Notamacropus eugenii: one gene and its partner. The main gene of each other region encodes a partner of the protein of the gene in region 2 in a complex. Links are inferred from orthologs where the notes say so. Each region holds a gene or a part of one and is shown on either strand. Other genes may lie near its edges.

The links.
Region 1: the proteins of RASIP1 (region 2) and RAP1B are in contact, whole or in part, in a crystal structure (PDB 5KHO), measured with the Homo sapiens proteins. The link is inferred for Notamacropus eugenii from reciprocal best matches to the Homo sapiens genes RASIP1 and RAP1B. Residues at the interface, in NP_060275.2 of Homo sapiens: Val147, Lys149, Ala156, Ser157, Gly158, Ala159, Asn160, Tyr161, Lys162, Ser163, Val164, Leu165, Glu181, Arg182; in NP_001010942.1 of Homo sapiens: Val24, Gln25, Asp33, Pro34, Thr35, Ile36, Glu37, Asp38, Ser39, Tyr40, Arg41, Glu54, Leu56, Phe64.

The regions. Positions count from the first base shown.
Region 1 is NC_092874.1:245,866,604-245,874,065, forward strand, and holds the start of RAP1B (ras-related protein Rap-1b), read left to right. Parts: upstream 1-4,444; 5' UTR 4,445-4,769; intron 4,770-7,462. UniProt on the Homo sapiens protein: GTP-binding protein that possesses intrinsic GTPase activity. Contributes to the polarizing activity of KRIT1 and CDH5 in the establishment and maintenance of correct endothelial cell polarity and vascular lumen.
Region 2 is NC_092876.1:12,681,553-12,688,449, reverse strand, and holds the start of RASIP1 (ras-interacting protein 1), read right to left. Parts: upstream 3,013-6,897; 5' UTR 2,876-3,012; coding exon 2,603-2,875; intron 2,500-2,602; coding exon 2,360-2,499; intron 1,331-2,359; coding exon 591-1,330; intron 83-590; coding exon 1-82. Other genes in the region: IZUMO1 (izumo sperm-egg fusion protein 1), read right to left, coding at 3,120-3,171, 3,378-3,870, 4,068-4,224, 4,501-4,601, 4,706-4,786, 4,964-4,984, 5,492-5,578, 5,668-5,742 and 2 more. UniProt on the Homo sapiens protein: Required for the proper formation of vascular structures that develop via both vasculogenesis and angiogenesis.

The DNA.
Region 1 (7,462 bases), on a different chromosome or scaffold from region 2:
CACATGTTGGTAACAGCTGGTCAGCAATTGGCGGAAGTGATGAAGAGGGTGAGCTCTTCTCCACAATGATTTCTTCCCTCAATCCTCAGTGCCTAGCATGGTGCCAGGCACAAAGTAGGTGTTCGTTGATCTATATTTCCACTTATAATCAGACTACCAAATGCCCAACACTGCACCTTGCTTATATGCACTCAATAAATAGGTGTTGATGGTATGGCATTAGTCATGTGAAGTTACAGAGATGTGGTTCTTGTCCCACTGTAGTTCAACCAAGACAGATAATACTTTTACTGTCTCATTCCTGGGTCACACTTGTGTAGAAGGTAATTACTGCAAACAACTTCAAAGAAACAGTGTAACTTGAGAAGTTTTCTGTGGTTATGTCAAACTTATTTGTAGCCTCCAAGTAAAGGTTGAATGACCTGTTGGGGGTGTTGCAAAGGTCCAGTCAGACTAGAAGAACTCCGAGGTTTCCTTCAAGTCTGAAGAATCAGTAATTCTATTCCTCTAAGGGCATATTTCAGTTGGGTATTTAGAATACACTTTCTTTGTCAAATTCCCACAGGACTGAAATGCTTTAGTTACCAAAGAATCAAAAGTGACAATTCAGTATATGGAATATTGCCCCAAATGCCTTTCAGAAAGTTTCCATTCATTCGAGTGGCAACATTTTTTTTTATAAGTGTTCTTTTGGGAAAAATAAATAAATTACTTCAAAATAGAGGTTTCCTATTAGAAAAGCTAGAGTGGTCAGCTATACATATGCACACATTTATATAACCAAAATTACAGAAAATTCACAATAATACACTTTCCCCCCAATACCTTAAAAATTACACTTAAAAAAAGTTCCAGTAATAATCCCCCCCCAAACTAGCTGCTATGGGGAAAACATGAATTTGCACATAGGAGAATTAAGCGGAACCAGGAAAACAAAGATAAAGTAAACTGAAGGCACAGTAGAATGAAACTGAACACTTTATAAAGAAATGAATACTTTATAAAGGAAATCACTAAAATTACATTTATATAGCACTTACTATACCAGGCCTTGTGCTAAGCTCAATTACAATAACAAAATGTTGCCCATAAGAAATAAGACAATGTAACTCTCTCCTTTCATTAGAGAACTTGGGGACTATGATATGTAACTGTTGAATATACAATCAGAAAAATCTTTTGCTTTGGATTATTGTCATTTCATTGCTATTATTTTACACCTACACCCTCTCCCCTCCATTCTCCTTTTTTAGAAAAGAAAATCTGGCAGGTTCTAGTCTTTATCTCTGTGATTAACGGATAGAGATTTGGGGAAAGATTTGGATTTCTATAAAGGAAGAAATATCAAGTTCCCATAAACAGGAGAGTCCATAAGCTAAAAGAAAAAAACAATAGGGGAATATTCCTCTAACCCTAGTAGGAAAAATTGAATCAACCCCTGGAAAAGAGGAACTGTGATATACCCTTAATCCAACAAGTAGCAGACATCTATATTTAAGAGTTCAAATTCTACATGTACAAATGTTCCACATGGGCATCTTTCCCTTATAACCTTGTACCTTTAAGGAAATCTCCACTCCCGGGTTAGTATTTAGAAACATGAAGTATTTGTGAATACTTGATCAAATAGCAATAAACAAAATGTTCTGGATCTAATTAAATAGGCTCCTGGGTCTGGCTGGCATCTACATGTTGTAGAATATACAATTATGGAAAAAGTTGAGAATGACAGCCTGGAACTGTGGGGTTAAATGTGTAATCTGTCCATATCAGTAGGTACCTTACAGGGGACTGGCTGATTGCCACTGAGATTGTCATGCACAAGAAACTCGACAGAAAGGTTCCTATAAGTGTATGGACCAGGAGATCATCAGGCAGTCTGGATGGACTTGTCAGGGCAGTTGTAGTGGGGAACCCTTCTCAGGTCTAGACTGGATTGTGGTATAATGGTTGGTAGCATATAGGGAAGGAGGGAAGGAAGGAAGGAAGGAAGGAAGGAAGGAAGGAAGGAAGGAAGGAAGGAAGGAAGGCAGGCAGGCAGGCAGGCTATATGCCAGGACTTTACAAATGCTATCTTATTTGATCTTCATAATAACTCTGGGAAGAAGATGCTATTATCATTCCTATTTTACAAATGAAGAAACTGTGACAGACAGAGTGACTTGACCAGAGTTGCACAACTAGTTAAATGTTTGAAATGGATTTGAATTCACGTCTTCCTTAGTCTGGGCCCACGCTCTATAATAATAGCTAACATTTATATAGTGCTTAACATGTACCTGGCACTGTTGTAAGCACTTACAAATATTATCTCACTTAATCCCCACAATAACTGTGAGCAGCTAGGTGACGCCAGTCCAGGAATTAGGAGGAGCTGAGTTCAAATGTGATCACAGACACTTACTAGCTATGTGTCCCTGGGCAAATCACTGAACCCTGTTTGCCTCAGTTCCTTATCTGTAAAATAAGCTAGAAAAGGAAGTGGCAAATCACTCCAATATCTTTGCCAAAAAAAAAATCAAATGGGGTCACGGAAAGTAGGACATGCCTGAAATAACTCAACAACAATATTGTGTTTACTATGTGCTAGGCATTGTGCCAAACACTTTACAAATACTATCTCATTTGATCCCCACAACCACCCTGGAAGGTAGATGCTAGCATTATCCCCAATTTACAAATGAGGAAACAGGTTAATTGACTTGACCACAGTCACACAGCTCCTTAAGTGTCTGAGTCTGAATTTAAACTAAGGTCTTCCTGACTCTAAACCCAGTGATCTATTTACTGTACCACCAAGCTGCCTGAGAAGAGCTAGGTTTACATCCTAACTCTGACACTTCTCTGACCCTTATTGTCTTCATCTGTAAACTGGGGATGATGCCTGATACCTAGCTCACCTGATTGCTGTGGGGCTCAAAATCAAATGATGTGAGAAAGGTAACTTTACATATTTTCAAGTGTATTTTTGTAAGTTTTCCTAAAACACTTCTGAGGTCTGTTCTGACTCAGATTCAGTGAGAAGACAGTGGAGGATGATAACATACTTCATCAAGTAAAGTAGAAAACCACCTGCCGACTAGTTTGTTTGAGAAAGCCACTCTGGCGGTAACTCATCTTCTCAATATCTCCTTGGTCTTAGATATCATCTTCCCTTGAGTTCAAGAAATGCATGGATAGCTTGAATTTACCAAATTTCACGCACAATGTGTGACCCTGGTCAACTCCTATAACTTCTCAGTAACCTTGACACATTTATAAATTGAAAAGCAGGATCCGATTTACATTGAGGGAGGGAGTTTCCTCACAGGGAGTTCCCTTACCCAGTACAATCAAAAGTCAAGAAAACCAAATCAATGCAACTTAATGTTCCTTTGGCTAGTGGAGGCATTGACTGTTTTTTATTCACCACAGACTTCTGGGAGGATATATCTGGAAGTGTAGTTGACCAGGTGAGGAGCTGATGTGGGATAAAACATTAAGACAAAAAGGATGTTACCTACCCAAGCCTTCATTTTAAGGACTCTCCAGCATTTTAACTACGATCTTACCCCATCTCACTAGCAACTTACTTACATACCTTACCTTTCTCCATTAGAATATATACTCCTTCTGGGCCAAGGGTTATCTTTTTGTTTTTTTCTTGTTTTTGTATCTCCAGGCCTTCACACTTGCACTCTGAACCTAGTAAGTGATTTTTGACTTGACCCAGATGTGGAGAATCTCTCCCCGCTTTAAGTGGGCACACTCACATGTCTCCCTTCCAAGTCTCTGCTAAAATCCCACCTACTACCGAAAGCCCTTCCTGATTCCCCCTTAATTCTGATGCGAATTATTTCCAATATATTCTTGCACGACTTGTTTGTATGTAATTGTCTCTGTTATTAGACTGCGAACTCCACATGAGGAAAAATGTCTTTTACCTTTCTATCCCCAGCAGCTAGCACACACGGTGCCCGGCACATAGTAGGTGCTTAATCCATGTTGACTGATTCCTTAGACTATGAGCCCCCAGTGAGCAGGGACTGTCTGTTACCTTTTCTTCCCCAGCTATTAGCTATAGGTAATTAGGTTTATTGATTTTTTTAGGGACCTCCCACTGTTAATTATTTCCAATATCTCCTGCACTCATCTCGTTTGTATTAGACCGTGACCTCCCCGAAAGTGGAGAGTGACTTTGGCTTTTCTTTCTGTCGTCCCGCACGCCCCATCCTCGCACTCAGCACACACAGTAGGAGTTTACTGAAGGCTTCTCACCTTCTCTGCTAGCTGGACTTGCGCTCCACGTGGATCAGACTCAGCCTCCCTCAATCCCGGAGGCGTGGGAGGGAAGGAGGGAGGAAGGAGGAAGGAGGGCGGGGGAGGAGGGAGGAAGGCGAGAGAAAAGGTCAGGCTCGTCGGCGCCCCGCCCCGCCCCGCTCCGCCCCGCCTCTTCTGCCTCGTTTCCCTTGTCCCTCCCCTCGCTGGCCCCGCCCCCTCCCGTGCTCCACGCCCTCCCTCTCCGCCAGCGGAAGGAACCGAAAGCGAGGCTGAACGCCTGACGTCAAGGCGACCCAGCCAAACCTCGCCCAGAGTCAGGCGTGGAACGAGCCGGAGCGGCGGCGGCGGCGGCGGCGGCGGCGGCGGTGGCAGAGGAGGAAGAGGAGGGAGGGAGGCGGCAGCCCGGCGACCCACCCGCCTTGGCAGCCGGAGAGCGGAGACGGAGACGCCGAGAGAGAGCCCGGCTCTGCGGAGGGGGCCCTCCGGGGGACTCGGTGGCAGCGCCCTGAGTGAGTGGGGGGCCGGCGGCGGGGCGGGGAGGAGGCCCGGGCGGGGCGCGGACGGGGCGGCGGGGCCGGAGCGGGACGTGCAGGTGGCGGGGCCCCCTCCGGAGCCGGGGAGGGACGAGGCGCCGCCGAGCCGCGCTCTCCCTGCGGAAGGGGTCAGATGTCTGAAACATGGCGGAGGAAGTGCGAGCCTGAGGAGCCCCCTCGCACACTCGCTCGCGCACCCGCACGCGCTCCCACTCCCGCTGCCCGTGGCAGGCGCGGGGCGGGCGGGCGGGTGTCCGCCTCCCCCCCGCGCGCCGCCGGGGATCCCCGGGCCGCCACCCCGGGCTGTGGGTGGAAGTTAGCGAGCGGAAACGAGAAAAGTTGTCCTTGGACCGGACGGGCCGTCCGCGGAGCCGGGGGTGGGGGTGGGGGCTTGAGGGGGCGGGAAGGTTCAGGGGGAAACCACTCCCCGGCCCCCTCCCTCGGGGCTGCGAGGCTGACAGGGAAGGGATGGGGGGGCGCGACTCGCATTTGTTTCGGGAAGTGGTAGGAGGAAGGCGGCCGAGCGAGCCCCACCTAGTCCGGCTCTGTACCCGCAGCCCGGGGAGAGGGAGGCGATTGATTAAAGGGCCCTTCCTCCCTGCCGCCGGGCAGGAAGCGGCCTCCTTGGGGGCCTGCCCGCCGGGGGAGACCACCCCGCCACGTTCCCGGGTCAAGCCAGGTCGCCCCCGAGCTCGGCCCAAGCAGCCCCTGCCCTCCCTGTGTGCAGCGAGCTAGGATTCTCCCCAGCCTTGAAATAGGTTATCTCGGACCGCCCCAGCAGAGCTGGCCCACTTTTTTTTTCTTGGATATCATCTCTGAGCAAAGTACTGCACTTTCAAATCAGTGTTAATATATTAAGTGCCTACTATGTGCCAGGCCCTGGAAATGCTCAGAAAACCAACTCCCGCCTTCCGCTGCTCAGTCCAAGGAGGATGCGATAAACTAGGATTATTTCTAGCCTTGAAGTAATTATTGAAAACTGCTCCAGCAGAGCTGGCCCACTTTTTTTTTTCCCCACCTAGATATCATTTGGAAAAAGTAGTGCACTCTCAAGTCAACAAGGACTTCATTAAGCATCTGCTGTGTATCTGGCCTCATGCTTGGTGCTGGGGATACTAAGAAAAGCAATTCCTGTCCTCAAGGAGACCACAATCTAAAGGGGATACAAGAAACTATGATTATTAAAGGCTTGAAGGGAAGTGGTTCTTTTAATCCATTGCTTTTTTTTTTCTTTCCGCAAATGGATGTCCTTTGGAAAAGTACTGAACCCTCAAGTCACCAAGCATTTATTAAGCAGCTATGTATATGTAGCAGGCCTTCTGCTAGGTGTTGGAGAAAATTAAAACCAATTCCTGTGCTCACAATAAAATGAGAATGCAATAAACTGTTCCTCTTCATAGCCTCAAAATAGCTTTTTTTTTAACTTAACCTCATTCTCCCTTTTCCTCTTAAATGGATGTCTTTTGGAGGAAGTGTTGCTCTTAATATCAGGAAAGTTTTAGTTTCTTTGGAGATCCACCACCAGGTTTCCACTTAGGTAAACTCCTTGCAAGTAGGAATTTTTTTTTGTTAGCCTGGCAGCTAGTAGACTTAATAGTTGTTGGTTGATAGATTTTGTTCAGTACTTTTTTCTTCCTCTTTAAATGTTACCAGTTTGTCCAAAAATTGATGTGCCAAGCAGAAATTAATAACCTCAGATTTTTATTTTTCCTTTAAATTAAGTCACACTATCTTCATTTTTTGTATCAAAGTGAGAATTTTGGGGAATTACACCACCCTGTGTTTGAGGGGTTTGCGGATATAAGTATAACTTTGTAAATGCATACCTCACTACTGGTGAGACCCCCTCACCCATTTGGTACCTATTTGCTTTTAACTACCATGCTTTGTGCCTTTAAAGTATTTGGAATTTCATACAGGTTGTCCTAGCAAGAAATGATGCACAAAAGAAAAAGAATACCTTTTACCCCGACTTAATGTCTCTAAGCTAACAATGTTCAAGGATTTCCCTTTGGACGTAACTTTGGTAGTCCTAAACTATAGAGCTGGAAGAGACCTTGAAGGTTTTATCTAGTACAAACCCCTCATTTTCCAGATAAGGAAAAGATACCTCTGAGTGAAATGACTTATTCAAGGTCATACATTGAATGCCTAACTTAATGATGGTTTTTTGTTTTTCCTCTGTAGCGAAAGGGACAGAATGACAAATTCTGTCTGACAGAAATGATACTTGAGTAGACTTGTGGGGTGGGGAATCGAAAGGTTGGCCTTGTATAAATTAGATCTTGTCAAGAAAAGCCAGAAATACACACTTCAGTCTTGATGTATCAAATCCTGTGGCCTTTCAGGCAGAGGTGACTGACAAATGAAATTACACATCAGGAACAGGTCTGAATTTGTGATTTTGCAATTAAGTTGGTAGAGGGAATTTGTGGATAAGGAAATGGCCTTTATTTATGCAAGTCCGCACTTTTTTTTTCAGCATAAGTGTTAGAGAATTGCCTAGAGTACTGAGTGGTTTAGGGACTTGCCCAGGATCACCCAGCCATTATGTGACTCCAGAGTCAGTCCTTTTTCCATTTGGCTGCCTCTGCTGATAGGGAAGGAAAGTAGCTTCCTATTTGATTCTGGGATAACTGCTAGCAACTTGTTAAGTGGGGAGGCAGATG
Region 2 (6,897 bases):
GGTCCAGACCCTGGTCCCGGCCCCGGGCCGGAGGCTGCCCGCGATCGGCTCTTCGGGGGTCGCCACGATGGACCTCCCAGGCCTGCAGGGGCATGGACACCAAGAAAGATGCAAACCCAGTGAGAGACAGAGAAGTAGAGACACGAACAGAGAGCGAGGAGGAGTGGGGACAGATAGAGCCACTGAGATCGAGGTGCAAAGTGAGGAGAGACACAAAAAGAGGCGACCCAGGGAGACTGGTCAAACAAACACGGAGACCCCAGGACGGAGAGGTTGGGTGGAGGGCGTGATGTGGGAGGGACAAAGACTCAGAGAACCCGGCACTAAGACAGAGACAGACCCAGGGAGACACTGGGAGTCCGGGACCGGGAGAGAGGAGACAGGATAGAGACTCAGAGAGCCCCTCACCCGGAGGGGACAAATGAGCAGAGAGTAGCAGGGAGAGGCTGCGGGTCCGGGACAGGACAGAGACCCAGAGAAAGAAAGGCTGGGGGTCTGGAATGGGAGGAGGACAGACAGGACTGAGACTCAGAAAACCCGACACTCCAAGAGAAGAAAAAAGCCCCTCCCACCTGCCGCCCCGCCCTCACCGTCCTCTTGGGCAGCGGCCGGACCCTCCTCCTCCAGTCTGCGCGCTTCCTCCCGGCCGCGCAGCTCGAAGCGCCGGCCCCAGCCAGGCCGCGGGCGCCACAGCTCCTGCACCAGCAGGGGGCGTTCCGAGTCGCCCAGGACCCGCACGTGCTCTGCCCGCCACTCCCCAGCTCCTCCGGAGGCCGCGGGTGGCCGGCCTAGAGCATCGCACAGCGCGAAAGCCTCGGCTCCTCCCCCAGAGACACCTTCGCCGCCGCCTCCAGGCAGCCCTCCGGTCGCCAGTCCGTAGCGCTCGAGGGCCTCGGCCACCAGTTCGCGGGCAGTGGAGCGGGGCGTGGCCAAGACGCTTTTATAATTGGTGCCCGAGGCGAGGCCGCAGCCGAAGATCTTCAGCACGCCCGGGGCAGGGCTGGGGCCGCCAAAGCCCGGGAGGCCCCACGAGGCCGTCTGAGGCTCGGGGCCCACAGCTCCAGCCAAGCCCGGGAGCTTCTTCTCGCTGGCCCAGCGTTGGGCCCCAGCCCCAGCCCCAGCACCGGGACCCGCCCCGCCCCCGGCAGCGCCCCCGCCCCCGGTCCCGGTCCCTGGGCCCCGAAACAGCTGGGAGATGCGCCGGGCCCGGCTCCCAGAGGCACCCCCTGCGGCCTTCACAGCCCCGACGCGACGCAGCTCCGGGCCTGAGTGACCTGAAGAGGTTGGCGCCGGGTCACTGCTGCGACTGCCCGTGTCCGAAGAGGAAGACCTGCGGATGCCAGGGATGCGCGGACCAGAGAGCCACAGAGACGTCAAGAGACAAACAGAGAGAGGCAGAACGAGCCGGGGGAGAGGAGACACGGCATCTCCCGACGTGACAGAGGCCCGGGAAGAAAGGGGGGGAGGGAGAGAGAGAGAGAGAGAGAGAGAGAGAGAGAGAGAGAGAGAGAGAGAGGAGAGAGAGAGAGAGAGAGAGAGAGAGAGAGAGAGAGTTAGAGAGAGAGAGAGAGAGAGAGAGAGAGAGAGAGGATGGACAGGTGGGAGAGGGAGACAGAGAGACAGGGAAACATGACAGACAGACGGAGGAAGGAAGAGAGAGGAGGAAAGGGAGACAAAGAGGCGGGGATAAGAAGGAGGGAGGGGAGAGAGAGACAGAAAAACAGAGAGACACAGAGAGACACAGAGAAACAGAGAGACAGAAAGAGAGAGAAAGCCGGCCGGAGGGAGAGAGAAAGAAAGACGGAGATGGACAGAGTGGGAGAGGGAGACGGACGGACAGAGAAGACAGGTGGAGGAAGGAAGAGAGGGGCAAAAGGGATCCGAAGAGGCGAGGAGAAGAGGGAGGGGGGAGAGAGGTACATAGAGACAAAGACAGAGAGAAACAGACACACACACACACACACACACACACACACACACACACACAGAAAGGAGAGAAGAAAAAGAGGGAGACTCATGAGACATGAAGAGTGGGAGCGGGGAGGACTAAGGGGGAATCAGACGCGCTAAAGCTTGGAGTTGGGTTTCTGGGGGCCCTGATACTTGGGAGAAGGGAAGATGCAGCCCCTTGATCTGTTAGAGGTAGGGTAATGGACTCCTGGGACCCAGAGAAGAAGGAGGTGGGGCTCCTAGGAGGGGCTCAAATCCCCCTGCAGTCTGGGTCTTTCGAAAGCCTGCAGGGACGTCTGAGGCAGGAAGGGGTGGGGTCTCAGATCTCTAACCACCTGGATCCCTGGAAGGCTGGCGAGGACGTAGGGGATATGGGAACCCTCAGTCGGGGCGGGGGGCTACCACTCACTTTACTGAGGCCGCGCTGGGCCAGCGGCGCCCCAGCTTCGCCAGCTGCTTCCGTGGGGAGTTGATCCAGAGGCCGGCGGGGAGATGGAGCTTCCCGAAGCGGGGGCTCCCGCTCTCCTTCCGCTCTCCTGACAGCATCTCCTGCGTGGATATAAGACCTTCTGGATTCTCAAGCGGGAGAGGGCATCGGGAGGGGACACCGCGGTTCCAGAGGGTCTAGAGGCCCTGTGCGCCAGGGACTCACCCTCCTCCCGAGGCCGCGGCCTGTGGCTCCCGAGGTGAGGCTTGGGTCCTGCTCCCGCCTGGATCCTTGTGCTCCTGGCTCTGGGTGGGAACAGGACAGGAAAAGGCAAGAGGAAGCCGGGCAGGAAGAGCGGGGAGGGGGCGTCCTGTCAGGGGAGGGGGGGGAGGGGAGCGAAGCCCGGCTAGGACGGGCACGACCTGGGCGTCCAGCGCCCCCCAGCGCTGGGCCCGTTCTCTGGTTCTTCAATTTCCTCCCCTTTGGGGACCCAGCCATCCAAGCCTAATACCATCTCCCTCAGGATCGAAAGTGACTGGATCCCTAATCCACTCTGGAACCCAGGCCCGCGCCCTTGAGCATCCAGGAGTCCCCTCCTAGACTTGAGCTGTTGGACTGAGTCACAGACGCAAAGAAAGAGGAGACATTTTTATTGACTGAAGGGTAGGGGGTGCCCCAGACCTCGGTACTCCAGGGCCGACGGCTCCATCCAGGAACACTGGCTGCTGGGATTCCCTTGGCATTACTTTCCCGCCCGGTTCAGGTCTAGGCCCGCTCTGCGGGCGCAATAGAGGCTGGAAGGGAGGCCGGAGAGAGTGAGGCAGACTGCGGCTGAAACCTTTCCCTTACCCGTGAACCCCATGCTGGTGGGGTAGCCTGTCGGGCCCTGCCCCTTCGACCCTATCCCCTCTCGGGTGGCGCCGCCCCATAGGCTTCCACCCCTCCAGCTCTGGCTTGGCCTGGGTGGTAACTACCGGGTCTGGCCGCGCCCAGTGCTCACGTCAGCGCCAGGCTCCCCAGCACTGCAGCCGCCCCACCAGCGACTAGCCCAATCAGGGTGATGTTAAGGATTCTGGCGGCATTCTGGCCTGAGTCCGCGAAGACATCTCCGTGCCCAGTGCACGGCCCGGATTCAGCCTCCAAGCCAGGCTCAGCCCCCAAGCCAGGCTCAGCCCCCAAGCCGGGCTCAGCCCCCAAGCCGGGCTCAGCCCCCAAGCCGGGCTCAGCCTCGGGCGGTAATTTTGTGGTCGGAGTCAACGTCTTCCTCGGAATCGAAGTCGAAGTCGTAGAGGACTCTTCTTCCCTATCGGACTCCTGGTCAACTGTGGGGCGGGGCTTGTGACCAGGGAAAGTCCAGTGACCGGTCGGTATGCTCGGACTCGGATGCACAATCGGATTCAGGTTTATACTTGTCTCAGTACTCGAACTGGGACTAAAATTGGGCCTTTGACCGTAATCGAAGTCGTCGAATTTTTCCTGCTCTTCAGGAATCACTGCGGGGAGGGGTCGGTGAGGAGGAGCCAGACCCAGGCCCCAGTTCACAGGCCCCGCCCCCAGGGGCTAGCCGCTAGCTCCTGCCCATTCAGGGTCCGCCCCTCACCACGCGTCCCACCCTATCCCCTGGAACCCTTCCTGAGACCCCACCCCCAGGTGTTAGCATGTAGGTGGGTCTGGGAGAAAGAAGGCTGACCCTTTACGTGATAGGTGATGACTGTGGCTGGGTTCTGCTCTCGGACGGTTCCCAAGACACAGCGATAGACCCCCGAGTCTTCCAAGGACACCATGGGCTTGGTCAGAGCGGCCTCTTGGCCGCTACTTATCAGGACTTCTGAGCCATTTGGCCAGACCTGGCCCCAGACCCCGGGGATGAACATGCAAGGGTCAGGTAGCTCTACCGCCAGACTGGGATCCTCAGCGGCGTGGGATGGCCGAGGGTTCTAGGATTCATACCGACGGCCAGGCACGACATGGGGCCCGGAAGCAGTGAGGTCACAAATGGGGGCCATGGGATCCCTGGATCACGCAGGGACCAAGAAGAGTCCGAGGGGGAAGGTTGCCCCGAAGGTAGTGCAGGCCCCACTCCCGGAGTCCGTGGGGCCCCTCAGGTATCTGGGAATAAGTACCCTGTAGAATGTGTAGTCGGTGAGCCCTTCTGCTGCTTTATGCCAACTCAGTTCGCAGTCCAAGACCATGTCCCCGTTCTCATGCACTCGCACGCTTTGTTCTGTAGATAGAAGTGACACATTAGTGTGACTTAGTCAGCCGCACCTTAGTGATGAGGTCCTACCCCAGCCTCTGACCTCCTCCCCAGCTTCCGACTTCGCTCACCACCGCAGTCGTAAGACTTTAGACAGGAGTGCACCTGCTTCTCACACCCATGACACCAGATGAGGGTCTGCATCATGAGGCCTGCGAGGGACGGCGGGAGGGGGGGAAAGGAGGGGGAGGGGTAAGGGCGAGGAACGGGGGAGGGGGCTGGGAGATGTCACCAAATCCTGAGGGGGCAAAGCCACAGGACCAGGCCCTGAGGGGCTGCAGAACTGAGGCTGGGAGGGGAGAGAAGGGTACTGAGGGCCAGGCGCTCACCGCATTTGTTGGGACAAAAACCTGTGGGGAAGAAGAGATCCGGGCTTTACCTAAGGGCCGACGAGTCTGTGCTTGGGTCCGCAAAAGACCCTGTACTTTGGGAACGAAGGGCCTATATCCTCGGGGGGAGGGGAGGGTACCTCAGAGGAAGCTTCCAATTCCCTGAGGACACTGGAGTCCCGAGATCGTGGAGGGAGTGCGGCTAGGGACCAGAGCCCTGAGCCCCTGAAAGAGGCTCAGGCTCAGGGCAAAAGGCGCTGGGGTCTCCGATGGGGCGAGGGCAAAGGGCACAAGGTTCCCCAAATGAAGTGTTGCAAAGGTCATAGGGCTCCCCGAGCGGAAGGGGGGAAATGGAGAGGGATTTCTCGAATGAGCCGGGATCCCTGACGGTGCGGAAGCAAATAGCCTGAAACTCTGCTGGGGTCTTGGCAATAGGCTCAGGGCTTCGGGTGGGGGCAGAGAGAACGCCAGAGGGCTGCCCGAGGAGGGCCCGGCGGGGGAGCCAGACACTTCAGGGCTCTTCCTCACTTTCCCTCTGGAACTCCGTTACCAGGCGAGCTAAATTCTCCTTCTGCGTATGCAGCGTCCAGGTGAGCTCCTTCAAGAGGAAATTGTCTGCAGGGGGTAGGGGGCGCACGGTCTGTGAGTTTCCCTGGACTCCCCCTTCTCCGACCTGATACCTGGAGCCCCTAGCGAAAACCCACCTCTGAGATCGCTATCTCTGATTCGCCTCAGCTCCTTCAGGAAGACCCAGGACGCTTTGTTCAGCGTGGGCTCATCTGCAGAAAGGTGGTTAGGTCGGAATAGGCCCCCCGGCGTTCAGCCAGGCTGACCCAGACCTTCCCCTTGAACAGCGCCCCCACCCCATCGCCGTCCGCGGAGTGCGCTTGAGGGGCAGGCAGGTGCCCTGGCTCCTGGGGGCCGCTCTTCACCTATGACGCCCTGGTAGGAGTCCTCCCCAAAAGGCAGCTCGCTGAATTGGCGCACAGTCTCCTCCAGCCGGCTCTTTAAAGTCTGCAGAGCTTGGGGGTCCACTTCCATGTGGCTGGGTAGGTAGTTCTGCTCCAGCTCTCGTAGTCCCGCCACCACTGCGGGATCGCAGATTATGCATCCCCACGCTCGGCGCGAGCTCAACGTCAGGGCCAACACCACGAACCCCAGGGGGAACGCGGGGCGTAGGAGACTGCTCATGCTGGTGGAACTCATCACAGCCTGAGGGAATCCCCTACGAGGTTCCTCTGGGCGTGTCCCTAAAGGGAATGGTCACAAACCCTGAGCCTGTGAGTTCCAAGGGACCCTCAAACTCTGCCTGCCATTGAGACCTCAAAGTGAAGGGGCCCTGAAAATGTAAGGGGACCCCTAGGATGAGGAAAATCTCAAAGCATCCTGAAACTGAAGAGCCTCCAACTGAGGGGGTTCCCCTAAATATAAAGGGGACCCCCTCCTAAGCCTTTGATTGTGAAGTGACCCTCAAAGATAGAAAAGATTCCAAAGCACCATAAAACCGGAGGCTGGAGCGTCACTCGGGGGCTAGGGTTTACCACTCGCTTTATTTCTACCTAGCCCCTTATTTCCTCGGAGGGAAGGAAGGACTGGGAAAGGGTTAGCATTGTCGCTTCGTCCCAGAAGGCCAGCACCCACCTTGCAGGTGAGTCACTTTAACTACATTGCCCATAAGTCACCACGCCTCGGGGACGCGGTCGTTCGGTAAGGCCACCGCTTCCGAGACGCTGCTGGGAGCTGTAGTCCCACAGCAAACAGGAAAAGTGGGCGGGACGGGTATCCCAGGACCGTCTCCGTCTCCTTCTCCTCCCCGAGCTCCCGTAGACGATCTCTAAGCCCTTATCGGGCTCGGCGAGTGTGAGTCAAGTCAGGAGACTCCCATGTGGACAGCTGCCCTCTCCTCGGACCCCGGACGGCCCCCCATTCTCCTA